Linked DNA regions of Drosophila melanogaster. The protein of the gene in region 1 interacts with the protein of each later gene in a pairwise test. Each region holds a gene or a part of one and is shown on either strand. Other genes may lie near its edges.

The links.
Region 2: the proteins of CG17147 (region 1) and CG14757 interact in a two-hybrid assay, tested with the Drosophila melanogaster proteins (one large-scale study listed by BioGRID).
Region 3: the proteins of CG17147 (region 1) and NaPi-T interact in a two-hybrid assay, tested with the Drosophila melanogaster proteins (one large-scale study listed by BioGRID).
Region 4: the proteins of CG17147 (region 1) and CG7272 interact in a two-hybrid assay, tested with the Drosophila melanogaster proteins (one large-scale study listed by BioGRID).

Annotation. Positions count from the first base shown.
Region 1 is NT_037436.4:20,221,995-20,225,893, forward strand, and holds CG17147 (uncharacterized protein), read left to right. Parts: upstream 1-1,937; 5' UTR 1,938-2,028; coding exon 2,029-2,035; intron 2,036-2,292; coding exon 2,293-3,299; 3' UTR 3,300-3,330; downstream 3,331-3,899. Other genes in the region: CG17145 (uncharacterized protein), read left to right, coding at 1-923.
Region 2 is NT_033778.4:8,171,864-8,175,384, reverse strand, and holds CG14757 (uncharacterized protein), read left to right. Parts: upstream 1-1,771; 5' UTR 1,772-1,887; coding exon 1,888-1,905; intron 1,906-2,015; coding exon 2,016-2,212; intron 2,213-2,613; coding exon 2,614-2,890; 3' UTR 2,891-3,021; downstream 3,022-3,521. Other genes in the region: LRP1 (LDL receptor protein 1), read right to left, coding at 554-728; Mlh1, read right to left, coding at 3,041-3,521.
Region 3 is NT_033778.4:14,842,031-14,847,489, forward strand, and holds NaPi-T (Na[+]-dependent inorganic phosphate cotransporter), read right to left. Parts: upstream 3,845-5,459; 5' UTR 3,408-3,844; coding exon 3,398-3,407; intron 3,267-3,397; coding exon 3,052-3,266; intron 2,936-3,051; coding exon 2,690-2,935; intron 2,636-2,689; coding exon 2,183-2,635; intron 2,124-2,182; coding exon 1,991-2,123; intron 1,920-1,990; coding exon 1,678-1,919; intron 1,614-1,677; coding exon 1,338-1,613; 3' UTR 690-1,337; downstream 1-689. Other genes in the region: CG10209 (uncharacterized protein), read right to left, coding at 4,388-5,459.
Region 4 is NT_037436.4:15,498,798-15,504,279, reverse strand, and holds CG7272 (uncharacterized protein), read right to left. Parts: upstream 3,343-5,482; 5' UTR 3,190-3,342; coding exon 3,020-3,189; intron 1,444-3,019; coding exon 1,038-1,443; intron 973-1,037; coding exon 862-972; 3' UTR 511-861; downstream 1-510. Other genes in the region: CG7857 (uncharacterized protein), read left to right, coding at 1-61, 123-466; CG7275 (uncharacterized protein), read right to left, coding at 3,772-4,327, 4,384-5,098, 5,151-5,220.

The DNA.
Region 1 (3,899 bases):
ACATCTGCCGCTTGTTCTCCAATAATACGGTGATCCGAGATCCCGAATCCTGCAGTCAATCGATCACGTGCATCGATTCCGTCAGCTACTACAGTACATGCACGGGATCTACTCCGTTTTTCGACAAGGACACGGGCAAATGCGTTAAGTCACTGTCCACTTCCACGTCCAGCTGCTCGATATCCTGCGCGGATCGGGCCAAGCAATTCGTGGCCGACCCCAAGTCCTGCTACGGCTACTATTACTGTGCGGACGAGGAGACGGCCTTGTACGGCACCTGTCCGCAGGAGACGCACTTCAATGCCACCACCCAGATGTGCTCCCGCCAACACGAATCGGATTGCACCACCAGCACCTTCGAGTACTGCAGCATTGTTAAGAACGGCGTAAACTTCGACAATCTGCAGGGCTGCAATATGTATCACGTCTGTGAGAAGGGCGTCCTGAAGGACAAGACATGCTCGAAAACCTATTATCAGGCCAGCACGGGCGAGTGTGTGTCCAAGGCTCTGGTGGACTGCGATGCCCATCCGTTGCCCACGGATGTCTGCGGCAAGGCCAGTAAGCCCTACGAGAACAAGTTCGTCGCGGATGAAGCCACCTGTCGCGGCTACTTCTACTGCGCCAAGCAGAAGGATGGCACCCCGGACCCCAATCCGGTGTGGAACCAGTGTCCCCAGGACAGATTCTTCGATGCGAGCAGCCAGATGTGCATAACCCCCAGTTCGGTCTATTGCTCCCACGATCGTTGCGACGGTCGGACTGCTAGTTTTGTCGTTAGTGCCACCAAGGGCTGTCGCAACTATCTGAGCTGCTCCGACGGGGTAACCGTGAGCGAGAGGTCCTGCGGCAACTACTTCTTCGACGACCAGCAGGGCGCCTGCACTCCAAGTGTCCAGACCTACACCGCGTGCAAGACGTAGGCATGTATTTCCAATAAAGCTCAGAATGCAATGTGATATTTGGTTAAGGAAGTGTTGTAATGAAGTGCACTAGTTTGGATTCTTTCGGGGACTGTGGAACCTGGATTGTCATAGATATAGATACGCGGCTCTCTAGCGAGTTCGTGTTTATGCACAATGACAAGTTTCTGCTGTAAGCCAGTATCTTTGCTGTAACTCGAGGATCGTAGTTGAGATATATTGTTTTTTTACCCGTTTTTATAAGAACGTAGATTGTTTTCGTTGCTCTAATGCTTAAGATTAGCTACCAAAAAGAACAATAATCTTAAACAAGTTCTAGTTCGAAATTCGAATAAATAATATCTGATGGGTGAGTGAAGAACACCTGTATTTTGTTTAATATTCCTGGAACAATTCAGCTGAAAACTAGGTAAATGAACAAATAGAATTTTAAGAATTCACTCAATCATGGAAACTTTTCTTGCAGGTGGTAACGATGGAATAGCATGGCCTCACCGAGGAGACCATAAATGATAATCACTGTCCTATTCGTTGGTTACAATCAATGTTTTCAAAAGTTCTGATTTTCCAAACAAAAACCTATCGAAAGCGACAGTGAAATAGCAAGGCAGTATATTTTAAAAGGTTGTCATATTTACGGCACAATAACTGCTGACCGTTTAATCGCATCAGCGATAAATATATTTATAGTTCAATTAATTAACGGCCAACAGAAGGTTCATTTGACTCGTAACTACCGTGGGTATACCTCATTAACTAGTGGCACTTTCCTTTTCGACTGAAGTTGCCAAAATTTACTATGAAAGTGAGTCGTTAAGGAATCTGCAGTCAGCTGTCTCGATTTCAATCGATTTCAATCACCAATTACGACCTACTTGAAGGGTTTTACCTCCTTTCGCACAACATTGATAAGATTTGCTCATAAGAGAGGCAATAAAGCGCTGGTATCAGCAGAAGCAGTGGCAACGATAATGACTCCTAGTTAATATAAGATTCTTCCATTCACGAAACTCCATTTAGTCGCGCGTAATTGGTTCCCGAGGCCACATCAAACCACTCGATCTATTCTGTTGCAAATTAAACCAAAGTTTCCCAGCAATCAGCCATGCTAAGTGAGTTTTATGAACCCATTAATTTACCGTCATAGATATTTACTTATACACCCTGATTCAGCCTTTATTTTTAGTGAAAAGTAACAGCTTGCATGCGTTTTTAAAGATACAATTAAAATGTAGAATCTAGATATTTTGTTCATTCATATTCATTTTTATAGGTATATCTTTAAAGGTTTTTAAGCATATCTATATGTTTTTCAAAAGGTGTGCTGTATCAATCTAATATCTCGCGATCATATGTATATCATTCGTAGACCTCAAACTTGGAGTGCTTCTCGGATGCGTTCTCTTGTTGGCTACCGTAGCTCTTTCGGCGAGTGTCGGTGAATACGAGGAGCTGTGTCGCCTTTTCAAGAACGGGACCAAGGTTCGCAAGCCCGGCACCTGCGACCAGTACATTCAGTGCTACGATGGCAACGGCACCGTCCTGACCTGCCCCTCCAACCAGTCCTTCAATCCCAGCAAGGGTAGTTGCGTGGACACGTTGGCCAACAGCAACAAGTACTGCGGCAATCGCTGCGAGGGATTGGATGGCGAATGGGTGGCCGATCCGACCGAGTGCCACAAGTACTTCTACTGCATGAACGGCGTACCGCTGGCGGGGATGTGTCCCGTAGGCCAGCACTTCGATGAGCGCTCTCAGTCCTGCCTGTACGGCGTGGACTCCATGTGCGTGGATGTGAACAACATTTGCGAGCTGGTGGCGGAAAATACGAAGTTCCGGAATGAGAAGGACTGCGCCTACTACTATGAGTGTGACAAGACCGGTAACCATGCGTCCAAGAGCTGCACTGTCACCTCCAAGAAGCGCGAGTATTTCGATGTGGAGAGCGGCAATTGCGTGGAAGCCAATAAGGTGGAGTGCACCGCCCATTCGAAGGAGAACGTCTGCACCAGCAGCACAACAATGACATTCAAATCCGACCAAGCCACCTGCCGTGGATACTTCGTATGCAAGGCCCTCTATCCCGTCGCCGACCTGGATCCACTGTGGACGCAGTGCCCCGAGGGCTACTTCTTCGACGAGGATCGGCAGCTCTGCGCCAATCCCACCACAGTGGTGTGCACCCACAACAGATGCGACGGACGCGGCACGATGCTGGTGACCAGCAGCAGCAATAACTGTCACAACTACATCCGGTGTGTGGACAACAAGGAGGTGACGGAGGAAACCTGCCACTGGGATCACTTCTTCGACGAGACAGTGGAAGCGTGCTCCTCCAAGATCATCTACGATAAGTGTTGCGATGGCCGGGACTAAACAAAAAATAAATTTAACTAAAAGTGCAAAGAAAAAGAGGTAGTTGATTTTTATTGGCGATCAATATATCCGTTAAAAGCAAAGACACTAGAAAGGTACACAGGTTAAAAGGGTATACTAGATTCGTTGAGAAGTATGTAACAAGCAGAGGGAAGCGTTTTCGACCATATGGAGTATATATTCTTGATCAGGATCAATATTCCACAAACCACCCAAAACTGTCACGACCACACTTTCGAACAATTTTTAAATTATGGTTTGGTTTTTAATTTCTACTAATATTCAAAAATATCGGGGACTTCGACTATAGCATTTTTTTTTGTTTTTATTTTGTTTTCAAAACAATTATATTTACGATTTGGCTTGAAATTTCAGTTTTTTTGGGTACAATACAAACATATACTATGTGCTTTATGAGCAATCCATTAATAGCACACATTTAAAATTCAGGTAATTGCCCGTATGGTACGCATTAAAATTAGACAACACATTTCTAATCTTTCTAAATTTAGAAATCAATTAGTTTTATCGTTCTGTTGATCAGTTACCAAAATGTAGAACAACATCCACATGAAAATACCAAGATTAATAGTACCGTCT
Region 2 (3,521 bases), on another chromosome or scaffold:
TTTTTACAAGACTTATTTCTCTATAAGTCCTTCAACTTTTATACTTGAAAACTCTTTGGAAAGAATGCAAGCTCAATTACTTTTTTTTTTGACTATCCTCGAGATCTGCATCTTTGCATGATGGCCAAATATTTTTATTTAATTCTCGTTGCGCGAAAATTCCAACCGAAACCGCAAAAAAAGCGACAAAAATATTTTGCATACACTTGTTTTTGTTTCTATTTTCATTTGTTTTGCGGCATTTTGCGGCGAGAAAACCAAGGAATTTGCATAACAAAGTGAAGTGACGCTTGATGGGGGAGGGGGCATGGAGAAAGGGGAACTAACAGCATACAAAAACAGAGAGACAAAGAGACCGACAGAGAGACAGGATGGCAGACGGAGAGAGCAGTTGTTATTTTTGGCACAGCCAGTGTGATGGGAGGGGAAGCGGGGGAGGAGTTGTTTACTTAGGCCAGGTTAATGCACCGCAGATTAACAACAATTAAGATGCGGGGGAGCGAGAGGGAAGAGGGAGATAGGGAGATGAGCCAGACGGAGATAGCACACGTACCTTTATCGGGAAGGGGACGCAGAGTGGGGGCCTCCTGTTGCTCCTGCCACTGGACCTTCCTGTAGCCGCTGCTGCTGCTGCGACTATTGATGCGCCCGCTGCTGTTGCTGCTGCATCTTTCCACGGCGACCAACAACAACAGCAACAAGATCCATGAATTCGCTGTCGCCGGCATTATGCCGCTGGCCGCTCTCCTCACACACACGCTACCACGCACACACAGACGCGCGCGCGACTCTCCTTGTTGTTGTTCTTCTTCTTGCTCTCCTTCGTGTTGTTTCAGCCTTCCTTTTACACAATAACACAACACTCACACACTCACAAACTCGAACTCACACCAAACACACGTAAACCGGGGGTGGCAAGCAAATCACAAACAGGTAACTTTTTTTTACTTAGATTTCCATTGAAACATGCATTTTGTTTGTTTAATTTTTCGAAACGCTTTACGCGCTCAGAATTCGCTGCACATTAGTACACCGCACTCAATCACTTCAGCATCCCTCATGCCGCGATTTTCTTATCCGCCAAACACAACGGAAAAAAACAAATATTAACTCATTATATTTTGCCGGCTGTTTTCACCGAAGCGGCGTGATTTCCCGTAATTTTTTCTTCGACTTCAGCAGCACGCACGACCGCTCGATTCTATTATATTTCGATCTCTGCTCTGCGAGATTTGCGCGAAGCGACCGAACACCTTCAACTGCGTTTACCGATTGAAGCGCTCCAACCGGTTAAATACTACGCGCAGCTATTGAACAGTATTTTTTACAGCCGCGACTCCGGTCACACCGTCGATGTTTGTGTGATGAAGAAATTTAACAGTGCTGTTAATTGGCCACACAGAAATTGTAAGGCGCTAATTTCAAATTAATTTGATTTATAATCACCTCATTACTTTTAATGGGGATATTTGTTCCAAAAACATGTATAATCCAGTTCTACGTAATCGACGTTGTCGATGGTAAAAACACCACACACAAAACAACACACAACATTACTGTGATGCTTACTGTAATAATTATTTTATAACTCTTTTTAATACTATTATCAATGATTCCCGGATCTCTGGATGGGCGGCGAGGGCATGGCCGTCTGGCGATGCCATAAATATCAACAAGTGCTAATTAAAAATAAAACAGAGGAAGGCCCTTAATAAAAAAAGCTCTGTTAGACAGAGAACGCACTTTTCGTTTTTTAGTCACAAATCGAACGGCCGGCAGTTGTCAAAATATTTTGATTTTTCAAATTTTCCGATAGCTCAATACAAATCCAAAAATACCCACCGAACAGAAAAATTTTTAAGAATTCCATAATTGTCTGTACCCAGAATGCTGCGCCAACTACGGGTAAGCCCTGGAAATGTACCCGAACCGGTTGCATAAGACTGCAATTGAATGCAATTTATGCAGTTTTTCTACATATGTACATTTTCTATTTTTATTTTCGTAACGCCCAGTTGACAATGGATATTTCGGGTTGGATCTTCCTCCCGTGGAGACGCTCCATGTCCAACATGAAGGACTCTCCTCCACCGCCACCACCACTGGCCAGCACTTTCAACGACGTGATTGTGGACTACGAGGACCCGGATTATCTTCCACTGCCGGAGTATCCGGTGCGTCCAAACGAGCCGTTGGAAACTCGCAAGCAACGGTGGGTAAAATTATTAACTATTAATTAATAACTACTACTATAACTATACTTTACTTTATTCTATACTTTACTATACTTACTTTACTTATAAGGAAAATCATTAATTAAAAGAGCTCATATTTAATATATATATTTTCCCTTTGCTCTCATCCACCATTGCCTTAAACACTTCCATTTATGAACTCTACTTTTTTTTAAGAAAGCATGACAACCTCTATTTAGAAAAATTTATACTATTTTAATTTTAAAATGTAGAACAGAAAAATAGGATTTAAACTCCAAGTTTCTTTTTTCTTCATCATCGATCGCACTTCTTAATTTTGCATCAGTTGTACAACCAACTAAGCTATTCTTTCCATAAGTATTTTTTAATATTAACCAGAAAAACACTTCACCTCCAGGCTTTTGTACCAATCGCGCAAGCGCGGAATGCTGGAGAACGATCTTCTGCTGAGCACCTTTGCGGCCAAGCATCTCCAGAACTTCAGCGCCGAGCAGACGGCGCAGTACGACCAGTTGATCAACGGGGTCAGCAACGACTGGGATATCTATTACTGGGCCACCGAGGTGAAGCCCACGCCCAAGGAGTACGACACGGAGATCATGGGGCTGTTGAAGGAGCACGTCAAGAACGCCGAACGGGTCACGCGACTCCGCCAGCCGGATCTGAATATTTAGGCATGCACCTGGTGCTTATGAATATGATTAGTTAGAAGTTTATATGATCCAGGAGATCATATCCTTACCACAATAACCAAAGCGCAAATATGTATGTTTAGAATACCAAATATAATCAATATTTAAAGTTCTGGAAGTGAACAACCTAAACTAGCACCGCTCGAACACCTTGTACAGAGTGGGCAGGTTAGTGAGCTCGTAGATCTGATCCTTGATGCGTGGTGGTGGCAGAAGATATTTTTTAAAGGCAGGAAATAGAACGTGTTCCATTGTCCATCTGGAAAAGCCCGCAGTCGCACCTTCCCGCCAATCCAATTGCGCGTAAAATCGAGCAGTTTCCCTACAGAATGTCTCGAAGCATCGTGTCTCCTGCTCCCAGTCCACTTCGGTGGCCAAGCGGAGCAGGTAAACAGGCAGGTGGGCCACACAAGGTCGATGCTGGTGCAGCAAACTGGGCAGAGATTCGAGCATTCCATCCTCCGAGATGCGCAGCCCGAAATACTCTCTCATGATGGGCGCCTTTTTCAGAAGAATGTCCGCAGCACCGTCCGCCAGCTCAGCCTTATCCCCGTCTTCGGGCGTCCAGCCGGCGGCTTCGCTTTCCAGCGACAAGATTAGCAGCTCCTTGAGA
Region 3 (5,459 bases), on another chromosome or scaffold:
CCCGAGATGGAGACGGGCACTGACATCTACGACTCCCTGGAGTGCAATCGGAAATGGACGCCAATGAAACAAATGCAGGCACGTAAAAAAGTCGAAGACCACGGAGCAGCAAAGGTTGGCCTGCCCCTTAGCCCCTCGCCAGCCATCCTTTTCTCAATTCAATTCCCATCTCCTTCCGAACTTCCAATTGTGCAACGCGTGGTATGAGTAATGAGAGAGAAACGGCAGCCCAAAAAGGGAAAACGATTTTCCGGTTCAATCAGTTTTGATTTAAATTGCAATTATTAACTTCGGTTTGGCAAATCATTTATTTTGCTGTAATATGGGGTTCTCATTACGTCGTTGGGTTAATAAAATATCCCAAGATTGCTATCAAGTTTGAAAAATTAAGAACGCCATACAAATTTAATTCTGTAAAATAAAATAGTATAACAATTGTCGTTCAACTTTTGTGAACTTAATTTAGAAGGAAGTCTTTCCGCTCTCGGTTATAAATTAAGAAAAAATGTGTATATAGTTTATGGCAGTGTTATTTAGTTGTAAAATCGTTTTACTGCCTCGTTGACGTAGATATCTGATATCTGAGTCCGTGAAAAAACTAATAATAGTACCTTAAGCCCCGTAAATATAGCTTAAAAGAAAAGCTAATACTTTGTAGACTGTGATTAAATACATAACATAATTTAATTCAAAATTTTAAATTCTTTAATTAGCTTAATTTTGGATGTTAATATTTTCTTAGGGAGTAGTATTAATACGAAAATTAAAGAATACATAGCAATGTCTAAAAATAAAGCGAATTATAATGTTTTACGTTAAAGAAAAGTACTCGCGTGGCGTCACACTCAAATATTTAATTAACATTATTTTTAATAACTGCAAATAAATATGCTGAGATATTAAAAAATCCCTTTTGACCTTCTGAAAAAAATTATCTTAGTCGGGATTAGTTGAATCACCTGGCTTAAGCAAAAACTTTCCCAGACAGCAGCAAAGCATTTTTAGCTTCCGTAAACATAAAACATTTTATTTGATTAACGCCATGCCGACATGAAGTGACTTTTACGCCGAAAGTGTTGTTTAAATAATAAACAAAAGCTGGTAATAAATCATATACATTTGTATTTATATGTATAAGAAGGTAATCTTGGGGGAGAACAGGGAACTAATCCTATGGTATAGTTAGCAACTCACTTAAATATAGAGGTTAAAGATGCTAAACTCAGTGGATTCACGGGTAGTTATTTACACAAAATGACGATAAGCCTTATCAGACGTTGTTCGTTGCCATAATCTACACGATATTATGACAATTAAACAGAGTGCGACCACACATGTCACTTTTCATCGCAATCAGATTTTGTTTTGGTCTCCTGTTCAGCGACTATAGGGGTTTCCTTATCATGGTCAGATTTAAGAGGCTTCTTCTCCTCCTCATCGTCCTGATCGCGTCCCAGATTCTGAAGTTCCTTTAGCCCGGAATCAGGCAACTGGTGACAGCCACTGTTCCATGGCTGCAATTTGGATTCCGAGAAAAGCACATACAAGATGCCACTGCCTGTTAACATCAACGAGGTGAGCAGGAACACATTCTTCCAGGCATCAATGGTTTGCTTTAAAAAGGGATTATTATACATGGAATAAATAACTCCTTTCAAAGGCAAAAATACAACTTACATTATTGTGAGTAAGTTGGCCCACGATGAAGGGCGATATGAAGCCCGGCATTCCACCAATCATTCCACTCACGCCCAGGACAATGCCCGCATAGTTTGGCGACAGATCGACCATGGAGGCCAAGGGACCCGAGGACACGGCGCCGTGAAGCATGGTGGCCACTGTGACCAACACGATGGCAGCCGTCGCGTTGTAGCCAAAGTAAGCTAGTGCTAATACGATTAAGCCTTTAGTGCCACAGCCTAGAACAAAAAAGAGTTTAAATGCTATTAAGGCTGTACAAAATATCTAAACAATCAGAAGTAATACTCACAAATGAATGTGGCCAACTTGCGGACATTTGTGCGACTCATCTTATCCGTGCGCAGAAGATAGTCGGCGAATATGGAGAAGACGTAGGCGAAGAGCATTCTCATAAGATGCGGCAGTCCGGACAGGAAGCCAGTCTGAAAAGGAGCAGGCAATGTGTAATACTCTTGACCTACAAAATCTATTAAACACTTACCGCTCGAATGTTCCAGTGGTGAATCAGTCTGAAGTAAGTCGGCGCATGGGTCATCAAAGTGAAGAGACCCCAGATGCCACCCCATTGGGCGACCACATTCAGCCAAACGGGACGAGAGGTGGCAATCGCCTTCCAGGGTGTGGGTCCCTTGCTGCCCTGAATGGAGGCACCCAAGGACTTCTCGATGAACTTTCTCTCCGAGTCAGCGATGCGGGGATGCTCAGCGGGACTATCGAACACAAGGAACTGCCAGGCGATGAACCAGAGAGTGCCCACGATTCCGCAGATATAGTAGACCCACTCCCACCGTGTCCAATCGATGATGTAGCCGAAGATCGGATAGAACAGGGCCACGCCCACAGAACTGCCCAAGTAAGCACTGACAAACTTGCTGCGCTCGTTGGGCGGAATCCATTTGGCAGTGAGCACGTGCATCGATGGCCAGGCCAAGCCCTTTAAAATTAAAGATTTAAACTTTCCATCAAAATCTGCTCAACGATCCCTTACCGTTATCCACCCCTGGAATACTCGCAGGATAATCAAGCCCGTGTAGCTCCAGTACGATACGATTGGTATAAGGAAACAGCAGAACACACCGATGCCATTGGACCAACCAAACACCAGTTTAGTACCATATTTGGTGGCCAAGATGCCGCCGGGAATCTGCAGTGTCCAGTGGGCCCAGAAAAATGATCCCAACAGAGCGCCCTGCTGCTTCTCGTTCCAGTGAAATCCATTCTTTTCGTACGGAATCTGCCAAAGATATAGTGCACACACACGTTACTCATACGCCCCGTTGTTGCACAAGCTCCGTCACTTTGTGGCTTTCATTAAGCACTTAACCAGTGATTCAGCGATCTGATACTCACATTCGCCCAGTCCAAAAACCAACGCTCCAGCGAAAATCGTTCATTCATTTCCGCAAGGGCAGCCAAGTCCGTAGAGTTCTCGTGGGTTTCATTTGAGGTAATAGCACCCTTCCCGGCAATCATGTCCACAATGGTAATGTTCAGATTGATCCGGATCATGTAGTTCACGATGAAACCGATGAATGTCATGTACCACAGCACAGTGCGCGCCTCGACTAAAAAGATCAAAGTAGAGTACATGAAATGCGAGCTCCCAACTTGTGGTTGTTCTTCATTTGGAGGTCTTAAACAAGATCTTCGACTTCGAGTTTCGAGGTAAGACACGAATTTCAGATCATTCTCGTACCTTGGCCCATGGTGAATGGATTGACTGGTTGAGAACTTCACTGGAAATTTGAACTCTGCATCTGCAGGAGCTGCCGCCAATCCCTGTGATTCGATCGCTGACGATCAACTGCTGCTGGCAGCTGCCGGAAAAGAATGCCAGACCCAGTCTGCCTCCAGTCGATCCGCCTGTATCTGTATCTGTATCTCTTTATCCCAGCCGGACGCCACTGATAAGCGCCGCAGATCTGGCGGACTATGCTGCAGCTCGGCTCGTGATCGCTCATCAACCTGCCCAACATGCGACAGACAACGACGAGTTCGGCGATCGGCAGCGCTCAGTTGAAATTCGCACTTAGGCAGACCGGATCAGTCAGCTGTTTGACTATCTTTATGATATGGCGTGCTCCCTGTGGGTTTCGTTATCGCGTTACGAGAGATGAAGACTAGATATTCCTGAAGACAGCTTAACGACGGACCGCTTGCCGGATTTACAGCTTTTCAAAGTCCAAACAAACAAGATTGTGGATTCCACCTCAGAGCTAAGCCAATGACTTCTCCGATTTGGCCAGAAAAACAAAAACCTGGGAATAGGGAGCTCTTGCCAGAAGTTGGGGATCAATCATTTTACTTGAACTAAAAAACATCCACAGTTTTTAAGATTCAATTATATTTGTATTTACACCGAAAAAATGTATGCGTCGCGATCTATTGAGAACTTGAGTCACAGTTGAGCTACGCTGTTATTGCCACGGGAACATTTACATGAGGATCACGGCATCCACTTACTACAAAATGGCATACATCAGGAGTATCTTCCTCATTGACTGCACCATTTTTGACTGTAGTAGTGTAGTGAGCAATGTGTACTTAGGTATAGGCTAGCATAAGAATGAGACCTACGAATTGCCGTCTAAATCGAGGGCTAACAGCTGTGCGCGTCTGCCGTCGTGGGGGACACCGTCGCAGGGCGTGGTGCTCCACAAGTGGCTTCCCACAGACGGCTCAGGACTCATCCGACATTTTCGTAGGACATTGGAGGCCGTTCGCTGGCGGTCGATCCGAAGATCGTTGGCGGATGGTGTTGCTGTCCCTGTTGCTGCTGCTGGTGGGGATGCTGTTGCTGTTGCTGGTGGGGATTGTGGCCATGCTGGTGTTGCTGTGCGGTCGGCTGCTCGTTGCGAAGCTGTCCCAGCGGAAACATGATGTTGTGGGCCATCTGGGGGTGGTGCAGGTGCTCATTGGGTGGCGGTGGAGGCGGTTGCTGGTGGGCAGCATGAAGGGCCTGAGCGGCCTCCACATGCTTGCGTTGCTCGCTTTGCTGTTGCTGTTGCTGCTGATGAACCTTCTCCACGCTGTTCTCCTCGTACTTCTTCTGAAGTTGGAAAAGAGGCAGCTGCTGGGAGGTATGAATGGGCACAGCAACTGCGCCTGCAGATGCTACTCGCTCTACCTGTGATTGAGGCGATGGTTCACGCTCGCCCTTTTCGTATTTCTTTTGCAACTGGTACATGCTGTGGGACAAGTGAGTAGTCACCGTGCTACTGCCACTGCTGCTAGAGCTGAGTTTTGAGGAGGTTGACGTAGAGGAGGGCGCGGGCTTCTCCGCTTTGACAGGCGACTTCTTCTGATACTTCTTCAGTATCTGCATTAGTTCGGACTTTACATCAAGGCGTATCTCCTCCGGAACTCTCTTGATCTCTTCGTACAGGGATAAGAGGAACAGCTTGTCGGGATCCCGGTTCTTGCGCTTCTTGCTCTTTTTTGGAAATGCATCCTGCATGAACTGCAGAAGCTTCTCCTCAAATGGCGACTCTCTGGATAGTGATCCACTTCCATGCTGGCGCCTCAACAGGTGTGGATGCAAGCCACCGTGAAAAGCAGGGTGCTGGAGCATTCCGGAGTGGGATTGACCACCGCCGCTATGCTCGCCTCCTCCACCGCTGCCATTGTGCGCCTGCAACTGGGATACTGGGTGTCCCTGATATGAGCCACCATTGCTTGATCCAGGAGCATCATTGGTTTCGCCATCGTTGGTGTGATGATCCTGCTGCTGCTGTTGCCCTGCATGCGATTGCGGATCC
Region 4 (5,482 bases), 4.7 Mb from region 1:
TCCGATGGCGACTGCTTATATCAGTCCATCAGACACCAACTTATCGTAAATGCTCTTCCAGGTAATGCTTCACGATTCAGTCCACACAGCACCAAAACTAATCCATAATAATTGCACCAAAGGTCACAGTGTTCAGGAGTTGCGGGAGGAAACTGCCAATTATGTGCGTGCTCACAAGGACTCGCTTATCTCATACATGATCCACCCGGAAACAGGAGACATTCTGAACGACCAACAATTCGAACAATACTGCCACGACATAGCAAAAACTCACGCTTGGGGTGGCCACATAGAACTGAAGGCCATCTCATCGCTACTCCGGGTGCCCATTGAAGTTATCCAAGCGGAAGGAGCACCGACGCTCCTGGGGCAAGAGGAATTCGGTGGATCACCGCTGATCATCTGCTACCACCGCCACATATACCAATTGGGTGCCCACTACAATTCCACGGTGCCAGCAGCCTAAACGGGAAATGCCCAATGGCATTTACCATCAACTCACTCGATTTTGTAACAGATTGTTTTATTACATATTATGTTGACTTTATAAATACGTATGCATTTGGAAGATTTGAATTATTGTCAAAAATTGCAAGTATGTAGTAGTTATATACAATAATAGTCAATATAATAACAATTCTAGGTTAGCTAGCAACTTAGTTAGCTGGATTTGTTCTAAGAAAATATTTCCTATATAGAAAAATAATTCGTTTAGCTCAAATTTAGTTTTCTTGTGGCGGTTTAGTGTAAATTCAAGCAATAATTTGATTATTCCTCAAAGCCTAGCTACTTATTACTTGGTAATGTTGTTGCAACAACCCATTATTTGTCCTTTTTTCTAGGTAAAGCGTTCGATTTCAATTATTTGTCCTTCTTGCTGTCCTTGGGCTTCTCGGCAGCCGGTTTGTTGGGATAAATAGCGAACATGGAGAGCTGAATGCCGCCCAGGACCAGCAGCAAAAGGTTCTGCAGCTGAAATAGAAGAATTTTCGGTTCAAATTTACATTCTCGTTTAATAGAATTAATTGCTAACTTACCACCATCACAGTATTCTTGATGGAGATGGCATACAGCGTCCAGGAAAATGCCACCAGATTACCGGCAAAGATAATCGGGAACGGCATTCCCTCGGTGCTCTTCTTCTCAATGATTTTCGGCAGATGCAGCAGGGGAGAGCCCACCATCCAAACCAGGATGCCGGTGATCAGCATTCCCAGGCGGAACTCAATCTTGGCGGGATCCTCGAAGTTGGCATACGCGGTGATGGCCAATAGGAACACCGAGGAATAGCCAATCTGCTTCCAGATCTTGCTCCTGCTGGCGCTCGAGGCGTAGTAGTAAAATCCGAAGAGGAAGACGAAGTTTATCACCAGGCCGATTAAATTCGTATTGATCATGGCAGCATCATTCATAATGTTGGCCAGCTTCAAGCTGAGAACGGTCCTAGAAAGTTCAACAATTTGTTAATTAGTTACTTTAATTTAGGACAAAATTTGGTTTTTATATTTAAACAAAAATGTAATACTGTTACCATTCATATTCATTTTAAAATATTCTTCAATATAAGGCTGGAAATTTTATAAATTCCAGTTAACTTGTAGATAAGAGCATAGTTTTCTGAGGATATTATAATTAATTCAAATTAATTGACCCTGCCCGAACCAGTTTTCCAGCAGTAAGTCGCTACAGAAAGTTCGAATCAAGAGAAATGGAACTAGTTTTCATTTAAAGTGCTCCAGTCTACCACTTCATTGAAAAAAAAAACCAGTTTACACTTATTAATTGCGTTATCAGATTCTATACTAGGTGGAGATAGATAAATAAGCATAATAGGGCCGGCGTGCAAATCATGGTACACGTAGCATTTGATAAGGAGCTCAACGCTCAACAAATAATCAGCATTATCATCGATCAACCTATAAACAAACCCACAACAATGGTGAAATACACCCGGGCTGGGCGAAATGAAATGCAAACTGGCCGAGGAACCTGCCCTTGACCGAGACCTCGAGCGCCCATTGGGTGGAGTGGAATTCGTTTAGCATACAACTGTTGCTTCGCTTGCATGTCTGCGGGTCCTTACACTTGACACAGTCCAAGTTAACACCTTCCGGAAAACCACCCCCAAGTAAGCCCCGGCGCAGTGATGGCACACTCACTTGATGGTACTCATTCACTTGCTGCCATATGGCACTTTATGATCTTTTGAGATGTTCAAAACAAACAGTGGAAAGTTTACGATTTAAAAATAAAAAGGTAAATTCCTCGAGAGTTCATCTACATTTAGTGCTTTAGCCAGCAGGAATTTGGAATTGTTTAAAGAAATGTATTATTACGGAAACTATAGTTAAAAAAATATTATGTTTTGCTAAGCAAACACTATTATTCATATGCAGTAATGGACAAGCCTTACGGCTATAATTAGAGAAGATTATATTTATAGATGACAAGATATTCCCATCACCACCACTGGGTGGCCCACCCCCTTTGGAATCTGGGCAGCCCCGCTTTATGCCGAGCACGTGGAGAGGGCGAGTCGCGTATCTTTCGCCCGTCGTATAAACGATTAGCGGCTCTCCCAGATTTGGACAGACTCTACCGGATCAGCATTCGTAATAGAGGAGCTCTAAAATTATACACTCTAGATAAGAGCTACGTGTTTGGAGGGTTCTCGCATCGATAAGGCGGCAAAAGTGCTGCTGGCGGATTTTCGACAAGGTTAACGATTTCGAAATGTAACGGTCGCGGATGATCGAAGTGTAATTCCCATTTGGCCAACGCAGTGATGTAATCGATTCCATTGTTATCTTCTTGAATTGTGTGCAAAACCGATTCACTGGCGGCCTTGAAGAGACTCGATTCTGTGCTGTCATGGCGACAGTTCTAAAATTTAATCAATTCCCACACAGATGCGTTGGCTTTTGTTCTTTTCACTCGCTTTTCCTGCCCCCTGCCCACTAGTTTTTTTTTCGATGTCGCATGCAGTGGAGCATCACGGAATCCCAATTAGGTTACTTACAGCACCACTCCGAAGAGAAATGGGCCCACCGGGTAGACGTCGCTGCTACCCTTCTTGCGGATGTCGTTCATCAGAACCACTCCGGACAGAAATTGCAGGGTAGTTATGGTGCCGGCTACCTTGGCGATTAGTTCGCTGTGTGGCGCCAAGAGATCCCCCAGTGCCTCCATGATTTCAATGACTCTCAGTTGATGCCTTTCAAACGGGTTATGTGGGAACGGGAGGGGGGCCGAGTGCCGCGCGAGTATAAACAAATGAACGAAAACAAAAACTAACGACCGACTGGCGGCTGCCGTAACAACAAACGAACAAATACTGAGCACCAACGGTGGGGCTGGCAACCTTTTATAATCGAGAATCCCCTAGAAATGGACGCGTCTCTCCGATTTTCCCCAAACGTTATCGCCCGCGAGGGCTTATCGGATACGAATTGAATTTCAAATTTCCGCGAAACGTTGCTGCATGGCAAAGCAAATGAGTTTTCTCTCTAGAGCAACAGGAGAGTATTCCTTAGAACTTATCAACATCTTCTTTCTTCTAGTATCACTGAATTAAAGCCAAACAATAGTTTAAACTAAGCAAATTCACTGATAACTTCGGTTTGACTTGACCAAACTGAAAGTCACTTGAGAACAATGATAGAAAGTGAGAAACTCAATTGAGATTAGGCTTCTTAATATATACATACATAGTCTCCTTACAAAAATCAATTTTATTCAAACTTATCCAACTACAGTCGTTAGCAATCATCCTCACACCTCCTCCTTCAGCACATGCTTCTTTTTCTCGCTGACGTAGGGCACCTTCTTGCTCTTCTTGGTGTGCTTGCGCACATTGGCCTCCTTGACCTGCTCCTTCTCCTTGACCGTGCGCATCTTCTTCTGTGCATTGAGCACGTGACGCGGCACCTGGCGATGGCGCGCGATGCGCTTGATCTGCGGATGAGCGGCATACTTTTGCTTCAGCGCCTCCTGGTAATTGAAATTGACGCGCTCACGTGGACGGATGACGCCCAGCTTTTCGGAGGCATTCGCCTTCCACATGCGGACGTTCATTTCGTCGGAGCCGGAGAAAACGTATCGATTATCGAGGGACCAGGCCACGCAGACCACATGCTGCATGCGTTTTGTGTGGTAAATATCCCGCGAGTGACTGTGGTGGGCATTGTAGATCCGAATGGTCTTGTCGTAGCTGGCCGAGACGAATTCCTTGCCAGTGGGCGAGTAGTCAACATCGGTGACAGCGGAAACATGGTCAAAGTGAACCTTCAGCGGCGTTTGCAGCTTGCGAGTGTCAAAGGTATAAAGGCTGTAAGAAATAAAGATTTTAGCAACACATCCTCTTCGTATGGCCGTTTTACTCACTTGCAATCCTCGTTGGCCACTGTGAAGTTGAACGCCTCCATGGGATTCCACGCGAGCTTGTTGCTCTTCATGGTTAGGACGACCTTCCTTAGTGGCTGCGCCTCTCTCTGATCGTACAGGATAATGCTGCGATCGCTGGCACAGCACGCCAGGATGCTTGTTTCCACGGGGTTATAGGATATGGTGTGAAGGGTATCGACGCCCCACTTCAATGTCTTCAAAGGATCGTTGTGCCTTTCGTCCCAAATGGCGCATACCTCGCCACAGGTGGCGAACTTGTTATCCCTGCGATTGTGCGAGATGCCGTGCAGTCCAAATTTACTCAGTATAGTGTTCACCGGCACCTCATCCTCGCCGACTTCCGGAGCCTCTGCTTTCCAAACCTTGATGGTTTTATCATCTCCCACGGTGAAAATGCGACCTCCGTTCTGGGTGTAAGCAATGCCGCGAACGAAACCGTCGTGGGCCACAAAGTTCCGAGAGCTGATACGATTCGCCAAGTCCCAAATGCGCACTTCGCCGTCATAGGCGCCGGTGGCCAAGGTGGAAAGTTGCTTGGGATGCTTTCCGAAGCAGGAGACTCCATCGCGATGCCCGCTCAAATTGCAGACGAAGGGTTTGGCAAATACTCGATCCAACTTGGTGGCATTCAGGGCACGCACGTATTCCCTGGGACCCTCCAAAGGATGCAGCGAAGGATCGTAGTTCCTGGGCACTGAAAGTGGCATTCTTATAATACTTTGGTCTTTCTTCGTATATGAACTTACTTTTGTGCTGTTGCAGTTTGGTTTCTCGGACATAGTTATCCGGATTGCGACTAATCATTTTCACCTTCATCCTGATTGCATTTATTAAGCTTTTCTGCGGCGTAAAATAAAATTAATCGTGAGTTTCGAACATAAACAACATGTGCGTGCTACAGTGTTGCCATACAGAGCGGCTGTCAGCTGATTGTGTTGAGTAGTGGGTGTGGTAACACTAATGCAAAACCAATAGGGTAACACTGAAATTTGAAATTTTGGAGGGAATTCTTCTGAGTGTTGTATGATCAATCAAATGCAACACAGTTCACGTTCATTTTATGCAAATGCATAATACT